Lytechinus pictus: one gene and its partner. Each later gene encodes a partner of the first gene's protein in a complex. Links are inferred from orthologs where the notes say so. Each region holds a gene or a part of one and is shown in the gene's direction. Other genes may lie near its edges.

Region 1 (7,220 bases):
TATTGTTTTATTTACGTTTCCAACATCGTCAAGAAAAGACGTATTTAATATTTCTTAACGGAGAACAAGGGATCATAACGAAAGGTATATCAAATCTATTTTAACTTGTTGACCCCTAAAAACAGCTTTAAAACATGTTGTGATAGATCACACACCCATTTGAGACGTTTGTGACTTCTATTGTTTTATTTACGTTTCCAACATCGTCAAGAAAAGACGTATTTAATATTTCTTAACGGAGAACAAGGGATCATAACGAAAGGTATATCAAATCTATTTTAACTTGTTGACACCTAAAAACAATTTTAAAACATGTCCTGATATAGATCGCACACCCATCTGAGATGTGTTTGACTTCTATTCTGTTTTATTTACGTTTCCAACATCGTCAAGAAAAGACGTATTTAATATTTCTTAACGGAGAACAAGGGATCATAACGAAAGGTATATCAAATCTATTTTAACTTGTTGACCCCTGGAAAATTTTTCAATCATGCCCTGATAGATCGCACACCCATCTGAGATGTTTGTGACTTTTATTTTGTTTTATTTACGTTTCCAACATCGTCGAGAAAAGACGTATTTAATATTTCTTAACGGAGAACAAGGGATCATAACGAAAGGTATATCAAATCTATTTTAACTTGTTGACACCTAAAAACAATTTTAAAACATGTCCTGATAGATCGCACACCCATCTGAGATGTTTGTGACTTCTATTTTGTTTTATCTACGTTTCCAACATCGTCGAGAAAAGACGCATTTAATATCTCTTAACGGAGAACAAGGGATCATAACGAAAGGTATATCAAATCTATTTTAACTTGTTGACACCTAAAAACAATTTTAAAACATGTCCTGATAGATCGCACACCCATCTGAGATGTTTGTGACTTCTATTTTGTTTTATCTACGTTTCCAACATCGTCGAGAAAAGACGCATTTAATATCTCTTAACGGAGAACAAGGGATCACAACGAAAGGTATATCAAATATAATTTAACTTGTTGACACCTAAAAACAATTTTAAAACGTGTCCTGATAGATCGCACACCAATTTGAGATGTTTTATTTACGTTTCCAACATCGTCGAGAAAAGACGTATTTAATATTTCTTAACGGAGAACAAGGGATCATAACGAAAGGTATATCAAATCTATTTTAACTTGTTGACACCTAAAAACAATTTTAAAACATGTCCTGATAGATCGCACACCCATCTGAGATGTTTGTGACTTCTATTTTGTTTTATCTACGTTTCCAACATCGTCGAGAAAGACCTATTTAATATTTCTTAACGGAGAACAAGGGATCACAACGAAAGGTATATCAAATATAATTTAACTTGTTGACACCTAAAAACAATTTAAAAACATGTCCTGATAGATCGCACACCCATCTGAGATGTTTGTGACTTCTATTCTGTTTTATTTACGTTTCCAACATCGTCAAGAAAAGACGTATTTAATATTTCTTAACGGAGAACAAGGGATCATAACGAAAGGTATATCAAATCTATTTTAACTTGTTGACACCTAAAAACAATTTTAAAACATGTCCTGATAGATCGCACACCCATCTGAGATGTGTTTGACTTCTATTCTGTTTTATTTACGTTTCCAACATCGTCGAGAAAAGACCTATTTAATATTTCTTTACGGAGAACAGGGGATCATAACGGAAGGTATATCAAATCTATTTTAACTTGTTGACCCCTAAAAACAGCTTTAAAACATGTTGTGATAGATCGCACACCCATTTGAGACGTTTGTGACTTCTATTGTTTTATTTACGTTTCCAACATCGTCAAGAAAAGACGTATTTAATATTTCTTAACGGAGAACAAGGGATCATAACGAAAGGTATATCAAATCTATTTCAACTTGTTGACACCTAAAAACAATTTTAAAACATGTCCTGATAGATCGCACACCCATCTGAGATGTGTTTGACTTCTATTCTGTTTTATTTACGTTTCCAACATCGTCAAGAAAAGACGTATTTAATATTTTTAACGGACAACAAGGGATCAAAACGAAAGGTATATCAAATATATTTTAACTTGTTGACCCCTCGAAAAATATGTATCACCAATAAATATGAGATGCTACCAACTTCTATTTTGTTTTATCGACGTTTCCAACTTTTTCGAGAAAATGCATCTTTAATATTTCTTAACGGAGAATAGGGGATCATAACGGAAGGTATATCAAATCTATTTTAACTTGTTGACCCCTAAAAACAGCTTTAAAACATGTTGTGATAGATCGCACACCCATCTGAGATGTTTGTGACTTCTATTCTGTTTTATTTACGTTTCCAACATCGTCGAGAAAAGACGTATTTAATATTTCTTAACGGAGAACAAGGGATTACAACGAAAGGTATATCAAATATATTTTAACTTGTTGACACCTAAAATCAATTTTAAAACATGTCCTGATAGATCGCAAACTATTCTGAGATGTTTGTTACCTCTATTTTGTTTTACTTTCCTTTCGTCAATTACATTTCGTCATGGAGAACGGGAGTTCATAACGAAAGGCATACAAAATATATTTTCACTCGTTCGCCCCTCAAAACAATTTAAAAGCATGTCCTAATCCGCCACCGTTTTGCTTGCGCGACTCTCGTAAACACGGATTTTTTTTTTTTTTATTGGTACTTTGTACTGGAAGCTAGCCCCAGGCAACCCCTATTCCCCCCTCTCGTAGATCCGCCCGCACCTCACGCGCTGCATTCGCTGCAAAGCTTCGCTGCAAATGTTGATCCGACGTGCACGCCGAACACTGACCTCATTTTATGTGAAGTGTACGCTGGCGCGCTGTGTGTGTGTATGTGTATGTGAACCTGCACTATTCAGTGTATTCTCGTGCGACGCTCCGGCGGATTAGCCAATAGCGATCGAGATAATAATTGCCCCGTTCCCCAGCGTGTACGGATTATGCAAATTAGATTTAATGTAGAATATAACGGTACTTCGTACTAATCTCTTGGAACTCCTTTGCACACTCTCATTATGGAACAATGGCTATGCACGCGTTGGAACGCATTTGGGGTTTTGACGCCTCGCCTAAGCATTACAAGTACTTGATCGAATGCAGAGGAAGTTCAGCAAGAGCTGAAAACAAGGTTTGAAGTTTTGGGTTCACTCAAGCATAAGATGTGCATACTGTGTAATCTCAGTGAAACTTACAAGCAGTCCGAAAAAGTAGTGTCCAAGAAACTCTTGTATCTTTTCTTTTATTCAACTTCACAACTTCACGACAATTTTTTTACAGTATGAAGAAGAAGAATTGCTCTTTCAGATAAGCCATTTTTCTAATTTTTGTTTTTTGGAGACTAAATTACTATTTTGGCTATTTACAGAGAACCTAACCTGGCGACTTATTGGTGGTTTGGGGGTGGTAGGTCACATATGTATTCATGTGGTCATACTACCTCAGGTCTGATGAACCCATTCCTACAAAATTCAAGGCTCTAGATAGAATGACCCATATGTTGCATTCATTTCTGATGACAATGCTTTGTCAGTATCTACTTTGAATTATCCCAGATACTACTCTAAAAGTGCATACACAAGAATCTTGCCACCATGTAACCTGTTTTTATTATTTACATACATGTATATGCGAGCTTCAGTTTCTTATAACTCAATTTTTTGAAGGACCTATTCTTTGGATAATGTACCATATTCTTTAAAAATATGCCGAACCTTCAATTCATTCAAACATTATTACAAATAACATCTTTCAAGTTTGTATTCTTAATTTGCTGTATAATTACGCTATTCTGAATTTACGTGTTAATATTTGTTTTCATTTATGTTATCTGTTTTTGGAATATTAATTATTTTTGTCTTTATAGATGTTGGGTCAACGTTCAATAAGGCTACCTGCTCTTTTTTGTTGGCCCCTCATTCTCATAAATATGTTTTTTGTATGTCATAACAATGTTTTACTTCTATATCTTATGTATGTTTTTCATGTTTGTTTGTGTTTTTTTGAGAATGTAAATGAATTGAATTGAATCTATATGCTACTTGTAGACTTTGTGATGCAAATTCTTTGTCTACATGTATATCTACTTTGATTTCTCTCCCAGATACTACTCCAAAGCGCGTGTTGTCCTACTTCAGTACCAGCACATGCCTTCATTCCACGGTATCCATAGAGACTGCAATGAAATCGTCAATGAACTAAGGCTCAAGTTAAGAGAACAGTTCGGGAACAAAGAGGTAAATGTTCTATCATTCTTAAAAGGCTTAGTCCCACTCCACTTACGGATGCAGAGATGATGTAAAATGGAAAAGAATCTTGCCATCCGTTGGAAAACGTTTTGTATCCGTTGTGTACTCTTGGCATACATGTATCATACGCTCTATATCCATCGAGCATCCATCCACTGTTATTTCATTGTTCGCCCATCTTGTCCATTGTCTGGAGTGGATGAAACCGGATGGAGCCACCCCAAAATTTTGCTTGTCCGCTGTATCCGTTATGAATACGTTTTTGTGTCCTTCGGCCAGTGGGACCAGGCCTTTAGATTATTGGGCAAAAACTTTGCCGTAATACATGTAAACTTGAATCAAATATTCGCCAAGGTCAAACCAATTTTTTCATGCCAGATTAGGCTACACATCTTTTATAGACCTCTTCTAAGGCACATTTCTCATTTGAACAAAACAGATTTGTGGTCCGAATAGATTGGAATTAAGAAGCAAAGTTATCTGCATTTTGAACTGATTGTAAATAGCACTTCTGTTTACACTTTGAGTCGGGTAACCATATTTACCACATCATTACACTTTACTCAGATTGCAAAGTCAACCTGGAATTTTGATTGAAAATTGTTAGATTCTGTGTTATTATCTTTGAATTCAATCCTCGATCATATATTAAATTTTATCTACTCTGTAATTACTTTTACATAGTTATTATTCCATTGTCTGATGCTAAACAGCTTGCTTGATGTGTAGATCTGTTGCTTTTAACCAATAATTGTGTTATCACTTTCATACAATATTAATTTCTTAGTCTGATGCCAAACAGCTGGCTTAATGTGTAGATCTGTTACTTTTAACCAACTATTGTGTAATCAATTTCATACAGTAATTTTTATGGCTAGTCTGATCTAGGCAGAATGTTACACGTGTGTTTAACCAAATATTGTGTAATCACTAGTTTCATACAATGATTATTCCCTAGTCTGATGCTATAAAACCGCTAGCTGAATATGTAGATCAGTTTCTTTTAACCAACCATTGTGTAATCGCTTACAAACAATGATTATTCCCTAGTCTGATGCTAAACAGCTAGCTAAATATGTAAATCAGTTTCTTTTAACCAACCATTGTGTAATCGCTTACAAACAATGATTATTCCCTAGTCTGATGCTAAACAGCTAGCTAAATATGTAAATCAGTTTCTTTTAACCAACCATTGTGTAATCACTTTCATACAATGATTATTCCCTAGTCTGATGCTAAACAGCTAGCTGAATGTGTAATCTGTTTTTAACCGATGTTGTGTAATCACTTTCATATGAAGATTATTCCCTAGTCTAATGCTGAACAGCTATCTGAATATGTAGATCTGTTTCTGTTAACCGACCATTGTGTAATCGCTTACATATACATGTAGTATTTATTTCCTAGTCTGATGCTAAACAATGTGTAGATCTGTTGCTTTTAACCAACTGTTGTATAATCAATTTCATACAGTAATTATTATGGCTAGTCTGATGCTAAGCAGAATGTTACATATGTTTTTAACCAACCATTGTGTGATCTTTCATACAATGAATATTCCCTAGTCTGATGCTAAACAGCTAGCTGAATTTGTAGATCTGTTTCTTTTAACCAACCATTGTGTCATCATATACGTGTAGTAGTTATTCTCCAGTCTGATGCTAAACAATGTATAGATCTGTTGCTTTTAACCAAATATTGTGTAATCTTTCATACAATGATTATTCCCTAGTCTGATGCTAAACAGCTAGCTGAATGTGTAGATTTGTTGCTGCAACTCAAAGAACCACCCGATGAGCTCTTTGATGAGTTTCTTTCTCAGTAAGTATGAGTAATGACTTCTTAATGAATTGACAGCTTTAACTATGTAGACACTTTCTTATTATTAGACTTGTTTCTTCAAAGTAACTGTCATTGTAACTTTCAATATATCTGTAAAGCGCTTAGAGATGTTCCGATGTATTAATCGCTATATAAAAGCAGATTATTATTATTATTATCATCATCATCATCGTCAGGATCATCGTCATCATCTTTTTCACTTCATATTTCCTTTCTTTTAACCGCTTAGAGGCAATTTGTGGTATACAAAATGATTATTATTATTAATTATTATCATCGTCATCATCATCAATCATTATCATTGTGACTTTGCCATTCTATGGTAACAATGCTCAACAACCACTCAAGTCTAGGATTCCAAGGAAGTTACAGATGGATCTCAAAGGTACCATTATCGTGACTCTTCATTAACAGACCCCAATGGCCCGATGTATGAAATTTTACTATTAAAATCATCACTTCACTGGAAAAATGATATTGATTTGTAGGTATTTATTAAAGTATTGTTATCAAGGTAGTTGGCTAGTTGCATTAAAGATACCAAAGTTTCTGTAATAGTAGCTTTTTTAGGAAATTGGCAAGAGGTTATATTGTCCGTAAATGATGATATTGGGGATTTTTGGGGAGTGGGTTATGTTTATCTTTATTGAAGGAACGAAATAATTTGTTAATTTCATGTAATGAGTGTATTTAGACTAAATTTCGTGTCTGTGAATTCACTGACAGTGCCCGACACAAGTTGGATGAGAGTCTGAGGGAGATGTCAAGTCATGTGAAGACTGGTAGACAGCGGACCGCATCCAGCCCTGAGGAAGATGAGGATGGTGTTAGCAATCAGGAGGGGGAGAGACCCTCTGATAAGATCATGAGGTCACTTCCAATGGTGAGCCTAACTTTTGTTTTGATATGTTTCTCCCTCTGGGCCTCCATATCTTCATCGCTCTGCACATTTCTGTATTGTTGAAATAGAATATTTGTGTGTGTATTGTGGTGTTTTTTCAATATCCTGTGTTTATTGGCCTCTCTTTAAAGGAGAGGGACATCTCATAGTATACACATAGAATGCACGTAAGCGCATGCATGCAGGGCTAAATAATGAACGATGTGCGAGAAGAGCCAATGGATATTT
Region 2 (7,602 bases), on another chromosome or scaffold:
ATGTTCAGTGCCGGACCCAGGTGGGGTGGAAACTATCCTGTGCCCCCCCCCCCCCCTTGTAAGCCTTGAAAAGTTTTTTTTCGTGGAAACAGCCGTGCAAGTCAAGACCCTTTTTTCAGATTTTCAAAAATTTTCTCCCCTTTCCACTTTTAGAATCCCTGGATACTTTATTGCATTTTGCATAATCATTATTATTAACTCTTTGCGCGCTGATGTTGCAATTTTGCACATTCGTACAAATAAATTGAACAATGGTAATAATTAGTTTTCTCATTGACATACATATTAGAAAAGCTTATAAATTACAATAGTTCTTGGATAACATCTATATAATAATCATAAGTATCAGTGATACAATGCAGAAGTCTTCATTCAAATAAAATAGCATTGAAACAGTTGTCATTATTAACCCCCAAAATCAATTCAGCATGTGAAGAGTTAAGTTCAGACTGAAATACTGCTAAAAGGAGCGAAATACAAACACATAAAGAAACAGACAAAAAAAAACAGTAAGACATCTTTACTTTTTTTCAATTTGCATTTTGACTACATACTTTTTTCATCTTGAACTATGACCTATAGTGTGTGCATACACTCAACATCTATAGACTGATATACACACCCAAATACTGTGCCGAATTTCTCTTGACATTTCAAAAAGAATCCAGGAACACTCTAAACAAAATCGAAAGAAAAAAACAACGAGATAAATATCATTTCTGGCGCATTATGTTCATTATTTATAAAAATAACTATTTGTCACATAAATGAGGTGAAAGGTTAAAAATGTCAAAAAATAAATAAAAGAGAATGTAAAAAAACATCTGTCATTGGTGTCTGTTATATGAACAACCACAAAATCCCAAATATATAGTAATCATTTTTTTACAATGTGCATAATGACGTGTGTGCTATATATTTTTTTCTAAATATGTCTATATACCTGCATGATTTGAAGAGCGTTGCCGAACAAAGGATTTGCAGAAGGACTTTTGATCCCACGTCGTTTGAAGTAGGTCAGTCTCCATATCTCACGTCTGAAGGAAAACAAATGTACACATTGAATTAGATGATGAAGAATCATATCCTAGCAAGAGGAGACAGAATATGTAAGCCCTAAATGACTTTTCATACGAAAGAAATCGTAGATATACTGTATTATGTCTGAGTGAGTTGATTCAATTGATTAACTGACGCAACAACGCAGTCTTTGACACATTATCATTTTAATGATCATTTTGATATATAGGCTAGCTACCCTAATTATATGATTTCAATAAATGTTATTGTGGTCGTAATCGTTATGTCTATGAGGCAACAACGATGATTATAACTTTAAAATTTACTTGTTAATATCATAGAAGAACAGACCTATTGACAACATTGCAAGTTGAAAATTATGTTCCAAGGACAAGCTACAGTGCTGCCTTTCAGTCCAACAGATCTCGCAGTGGGCATGCAAGTAGTGAAATTGCCCTCTTTCAATTTTACCCTTGCGTCTTCTCCGGTTGAAGTATCTCCTACTATACCCCCACCCTAGCTCCCTACTCATTTTTAGCACCCTAAAGTGGTACAATTGACAAGTGCCCCCCCCCCCACCCTACATACATTACTGCTGCATGCATCCTGCTGGATCATTCGTTTCTAGGTACAGCATGGTATTCACAAAGAAGAAAATAATGAATTTATCTGGTTAATAACCTTCTATACGTAAGCCTACTGGTCCATACATGATTCTACCAATAATATTACAAACTCATACTTACCCAATAAGGATAGCGATCAGGCTACCAACTAAGGGCCACGAAACCGTGTATCCCCTAACAGAGAAAAGGGTCATCGTCACATACGTGATACTGAATTAAGAGAGAGAGAGAGAAATCAGAATGCAATTCAGGTAGCTTCACCGACTTGAGATATTGGGCATCCAAATCAAAATTCAACCTGAACTAGAGCACAGTGTTGAGTTTAGATGCATGATAGGTCTGACTATATGCGTGTCTCTAGCCTCTCAATCTCACCGCTACGCACAACGCTTTCAAGAAAATAGAAAATAATATGGGCCTATATTGTCAAATGCCCTCCGGGTACTTAGCAACTGTCTAAAGATGCTGGAGAATCAAAACAGCAGTTTTGTTCTGGACTCTGGACAAACGACATATATAGTGCAATATTCGTCAGCTCCGGAACTTAGGACGAATCTGCTGTTCCGCTTCACTAATTTTCGACAAATACCTCCCAGCTGTTAATTGTCATTTGACCGGCATTTTCAGTACACTTACCGCTTACTATGTTCTCGAATTCGTTCGGCGTGGCTGTGCGAAAACTTGCTTTAATCAGATTATGGAGTATGAAAGTTCAACAAGCGTGAATGAGTATGAACAATTTCATATTTGGTAAAATGGACTTTGAACATCGAAAGGTAGTTGAGCCGAACAAAAAAATGAGTGGTTTAAAATTAATGAGTATATGACAGTTATGAATTTAGATTGTGGCTTGTGTTTCTAGTTCTAGCAGTTTAAATTTGCATTGCGAATTCTTCCGCCGTCCTTCACAGGCATTTCGTTTGCTGTAACAGGCAATTCACTTAACTTGTATTTCTTCTCTCAGCCCTTTCCTGGCCCTTCTTGCATATTTGTATTGTACTTTTGTTAGAGGCGTGTTACAGTTTTTGCTATTAGGGAATTACGACATCTTCTGTTATTAAAAAATCTCTTATGTATTTTTATTCTATGACAAATTATTTTGTATAACTTATATTGAAAAAAATATATATTTCATGAAAATGGAAGAGAATAAATTTCTACTTGAATGAAAATGAGTGAAAAGAATATTTCGATTTTGCGATTATTTCTTAAGATGTTTTCCGTATAATCACACCTCCGAAATTTTAATAGGCCTACATGGATGGAAATTTATGCATTACTCCTCTTATGCCCGGCTGTTATGACCGTGTTTCATAATCATTCTAGCATAATATGATAGAGAACTATATCTCTATATCAATATAAGTTTGATATTCCTTATGACATTTTTTTTTTAATTTCGAGATAAACATTTTTTTTATCTGCGTTTATTTTCTCTAACGGTGTAACCATTCAATAAAAGTTAAGTCATAAGAGCAATTTGATGTAGAGGTTTTTTTTCCTCCATCCAATTTTCCTCTGAATAGAGTTTCACACTTGTGCACGTCAAAGAACATTGAGTATGTATCCATCCATGTTTTGTTTTTTTAATATATATCTGTAATTTTTTTTATATATATCTTTCTAAAATTCTCAGACAGATATAGGCCTAAGAATACGTTATTCAGTGTTACCCCCCCCCCCCCGTTTATTCGATTAAACTATTATATTTCAAAACAAACAGTATTTGTCAGGCTTCTGTGAGGTATATCAAGTTTTCGAAACTATCAAACATTATATTTATTTGTTCAAAATATTTTTTAAAAAAGAGACGCACTCTGTTGAAAAAAAAATGAAATTGAATAACATGTACATTAAGCAATTAAATTAACCCAGATTATATACGTGAATTATTGTGTTTTATGTATATGCAACTAACCGTTTTGGTTAGCTTGCCTCTTCCACGAACAATTTATCACGCGGGTTATTTACTCTGTCAATATGGAATGTGCTATTTGACGAAGACATCAATTAATTCTAAGAAACCTGTAGAACCTACTACAGGTTGAGGAGCGCACTCACATTCAACTAAAACAACAACAAACAAACAACAACGTCCTTTGTTCTTTCCTTATTCAATTTATTTTATTATGTTGTCTCTTCATAATCTGTAAATCGGAAACGAAACTAGTTGAATGAAGCTTAAATGATAAATAAATAGATTGATGATATTGCTTAATTAATTAAATGTGTGTGTGTATTTGAGTTTTTGAGTAATTAATTAAATAATCAATAGATGAATAAATGACTGAAATTCTAGATAATGAATAATTAAATACATTAGTAGATAAATAGATCACAAAGAACATTTATTTTTCTATTTTGGGGGCAATTTTTATATAAGATATGAATGGTACAGATTTTTTAACAGACCAAACTATTATTATTAAATACAAATGCCAGGTTTTTGTGGAAAAAAAATTGCATCATATATGGATGAAGAATGCTCAAATTTTTATCTGAAACCCCAGATCGGCTGTCAATAGAAACTTAAAAAAGTGGTTGACTGCATGGGAACAGTTTGCCATGAAAAAACAAAATACTAAAATTAAGACTGTCCGTCAATGAGGCACTAGCATAGGCTTAAAGATCGTACCTTAAAGATCATTATGTGTGAGATGTATACGTTATTAGTATATATCTCTATGGTGTGATATATGATTTTTGCTTTGAAGGTAGAGTACAATCAAATTGATAATTCACATTTTACTGATTGGCAATAAAATCGACAATTTCAAACAAAATAAAGCGTATACAATTTTTGTTTAATCAATTTATAGTATTTTATTATATATATTTATTTACATAACATTTAATTCTAAAATTTATAATTAATAAAAAATAAATACATGAAATAGTATAACTCACATCAAACATGTTTTGCCAATTTGATATATCGTTACGATCTATTTGTGTATAAATTGTCATAGACAGCTGTTACGTGGACAGGTACGACGTTTTCTATGCCAGAGATACGCCTGTGAAAAATGATTTTAGTTTGCAGGAAACAATATTCCACCTTGTTTCATGGATCAGAATAGTTAGCCATCATTTTTTCATATAGTATCTGGAGTATTCTACACGAAAATGAGCTCCGGACGTCGCTCAATTCCTTCGTCCAGATCACATCCGTCATTCACTTCCACTGGCTACTCGCTGGGCCTGGGGTCTCACTCGTCCAGCAGCGATGGGGAGGCACCGGGGAGGCGAAAGGAGGCTACCGGCGCGAGAAACAGACGACAAGCGGGCCTGTCAACAACAGAGCAGAATTTACGGTCAAGCGTGAGAAATACTTCAAATAGTGAAATTGAGCAAGTGTGTGAAAGAATCAATGACAAATTATCAGTTAATGATGTAATGAGTAGATCATCTAGCGACCATTCCATATCAAATCTTCATGAAATCAAAGCGTCATATTCTGCACAGCAGCAGCAGACGCATGAACGTTTAAGGCAAGGAAATGAAAGAACTACAATGATGGCAAGAACAAGTAAAAATCCAAAGATTATACCTTGGCGGAAATGTGCATTATGCAGTATTGCATTTAGAACTCAAACAGATTTTCTCAAACATTTACGGGATAAACATTGTACCAAGGAGGGTGGTTCATTTGTTTGCCGTTATGGACTTCATGGTGTTTGCCCAACATTGCCTGTGGATGGAGTGAGTGATGTAGACTATGAATATCATGTTGCAAGGGACCATATGATGGATGAAGGTAAATCACATCACTTTGTAGGGAATAATTTTGCAAAACAACAATTTTTGCAAAATTAAGTCATAAAACTCTCTCAGCTACCTCTATGATCTGAAGTCCTTTTTTACTACAAATCTGACCAGGCATTTTTTGTGTAGCAGTCTTTAAAAAGAGAGGAGCAAATGGTGATGCAAAACCAGGAAAATTATTCCTTGTTCTTACTACTGATTTAGAGTGTAGTAGAGTATTCTGCAATGTGGCTTTACCCTTTTAAACTATGTACTGCATATTGTGTACATGCATTTGCCTTATTTATAAAGCCACTAGCGATTCATGCCAGCAGACTATTATTCATTGAGTCAGTCATGAGTGGTTTTCAAAGATCAAATCCTTGTGTAAGAAAAGTGAGGAATACTTATTTCAACCTGTAAAAAAAATTAGCAGGGATGCATGTGGTTGGGAAATTGGGATTTTCATCAATTGAATTATTTGAAACATTATTTACCTTTACTTGAGATTCTGGAAGAATGCTGATGATCCCAGCAGTCGTGCTTCCAGTTCAAGTCCTTCATCCTTCTCGTTAGTTAGGTATCTTCATAGCAGTCTTGCTTGGAAATCTACACCATCCTCGACATTAGTATGGTTTATACATCATAGGGTGAGCAGTACCACTGGTCTGCCCACACCTTGTCTAGCCTTATTTTTAACAATATAAATACAATAACATTTATGTATTATTTCACATTAAGATTATATTACTATTAATTGATTTTGCTTGATAGAACTTTTACAAATCTTGTAAAAGATGAAAGCATTAATTTCTACATTATTTATTTTTACTATTTACCGCCATTGCTAAAATATATCATTGTACATGTATGTTATTTACAAATTTACACTAACAATCAATAACTTTTCTCATTGTATTTTTAATAACACCTTCCAGCTTTAGCAAACAGGTTAAAATCTGCAGCTCATAGCGACGCCCCTTCTATGACAGTAGCTCCCTCAGTGGTCAGTGTTCAGCAAAAATGGACACCCCTGTCATCTGTGGTCAACTTACCTGCTGTCTTAAATGACCCTAGAAAGGTCAAAAGGGAAACAGATTTCTTCACGAAGACGTGGGGTGAAGGCTTCGTGGATCAGAGTGAAATTCCCTCCTCTCCGTATGTCCCTCGCATTTCAAGAATCCACTTTGAGAAATATCTCAGGCAGGTGGCATATGTAAGTATGCACTTATTTATATTTCTTACCAAAATATACAAAAATAAGTATAAGAGTAAGAATGATGTATATCTGCAAGAAAGCTGTTGGGTTCTTCAAGCTTAAAAATGATGGAGGTCGTCTAAACAGTTTTGAAAAAAAAAATTAAAAGAAATATGCATCAAATTCCTTGCATTTTATAGTATTGTTTGAAATTACTCGATATGAATATAATTTTTGATACACCATTCGTATAGATCTGTGTGTACAAGCCTGCTCAAATCTTTTATTGTATTTTAACAGGGTTTGATGTAAAGAAAATTATCTTTGTGCAAAGTGCCCTACCCAAAGCATCTCTTCATGTCACAGAGATTCTTCCGCTGAGAAACACCGTAATACAACAAACTTGAGACCGTGTAGCACAAAGCACAATGTCTTGAGGATAGAGGTCACTTTTGATATTTTAAGAGCTCTCTCATTGAATTAGGCAATGATACAATGATGCAGATTCTTTGATATTGGGTGGGAGAAAAAGTTGAGATTTACAGGCACATCTAGGGCCAACTACAATATATTCAAACTCAAGTGAGGTGGGGAGACTTTGTGAAGTACATGTGTTAACTCAAAGTGGGGATCTGCCACCAATAATATGATAGTTGGAATATCTGTTCTTGTCTAGATGTTAACTCTACTTTTTTTTTAATTATGGAACTGATATGCTTTGATCTCTTTGTATTGCTCTCTCTGTCTCTTGTAGAAACTACAGCAACATAGAAGACCATCCGCAGTCAGTACATCATCACAAAGCGATGATGATCAGAGCTCAAGTCTTGCCAGTGGAAATCGAGGTTAGAAAAAAAAAACATTTCCTCGAATTTTTGTTCCTTTATCATTGCATATCTCTGTATATTTGAGTATCTGAAAAACATTTTTGTTATAACATTCAGAAACAATAATATATTTCTAATTATTTCGAACAAAGTTCTCAACTCTGTTTTTTGTTTACAATATGCTCCA

Evidence for each region.
Region 2: vacuolar protein sorting-associated protein 51 homolog (region 1) and vacuolar protein sorting-associated protein 54-like share a complex: the UniProt entries of both Homo sapiens proteins name them as parts of the golgi-associated retrograde protein (GARP) complex. The link is inferred for Lytechinus pictus from reciprocal best matches to the Homo sapiens genes VPS51 and VPS54.

The regions. Positions count from the first base shown.
Region 1 is NC_087256.1:24,417,735-24,424,954, forward strand, and holds the start of vacuolar protein sorting-associated protein 51 homolog, read left to right. Parts: upstream 1-4,106; 5' UTR 4,107-4,147; coding exon 4,148-4,237; intron 4,238-5,981; coding exon 5,982-6,070; intron 6,071-6,817; coding exon 6,818-6,974; intron 6,975-7,220. UniProt on the Homo sapiens protein: Acts as a component of the GARP complex that is involved in retrograde transport from early and late endosomes to the trans-Golgi network (TGN).
Region 2 is NC_087251.1:34,989,588-34,997,189, reverse strand, and holds the start of vacuolar protein sorting-associated protein 54-like, read left to right. Parts: upstream 1-4,586; 5' UTR 4,587-4,772; coding exon 4,773-5,403; intron 5,404-6,328; coding exon 6,329-6,606; intron 6,607-7,342; coding exon 7,343-7,433; intron 7,434-7,602. Other genes in the region: cytochrome P450 3A24-like, read right to left, coding at 623-675, 944-1,037, 1,767-1,840. UniProt on the Homo sapiens protein: Acts as a component of the GARP complex that is involved in retrograde transport from early and late endosomes to the trans-Golgi network (TGN).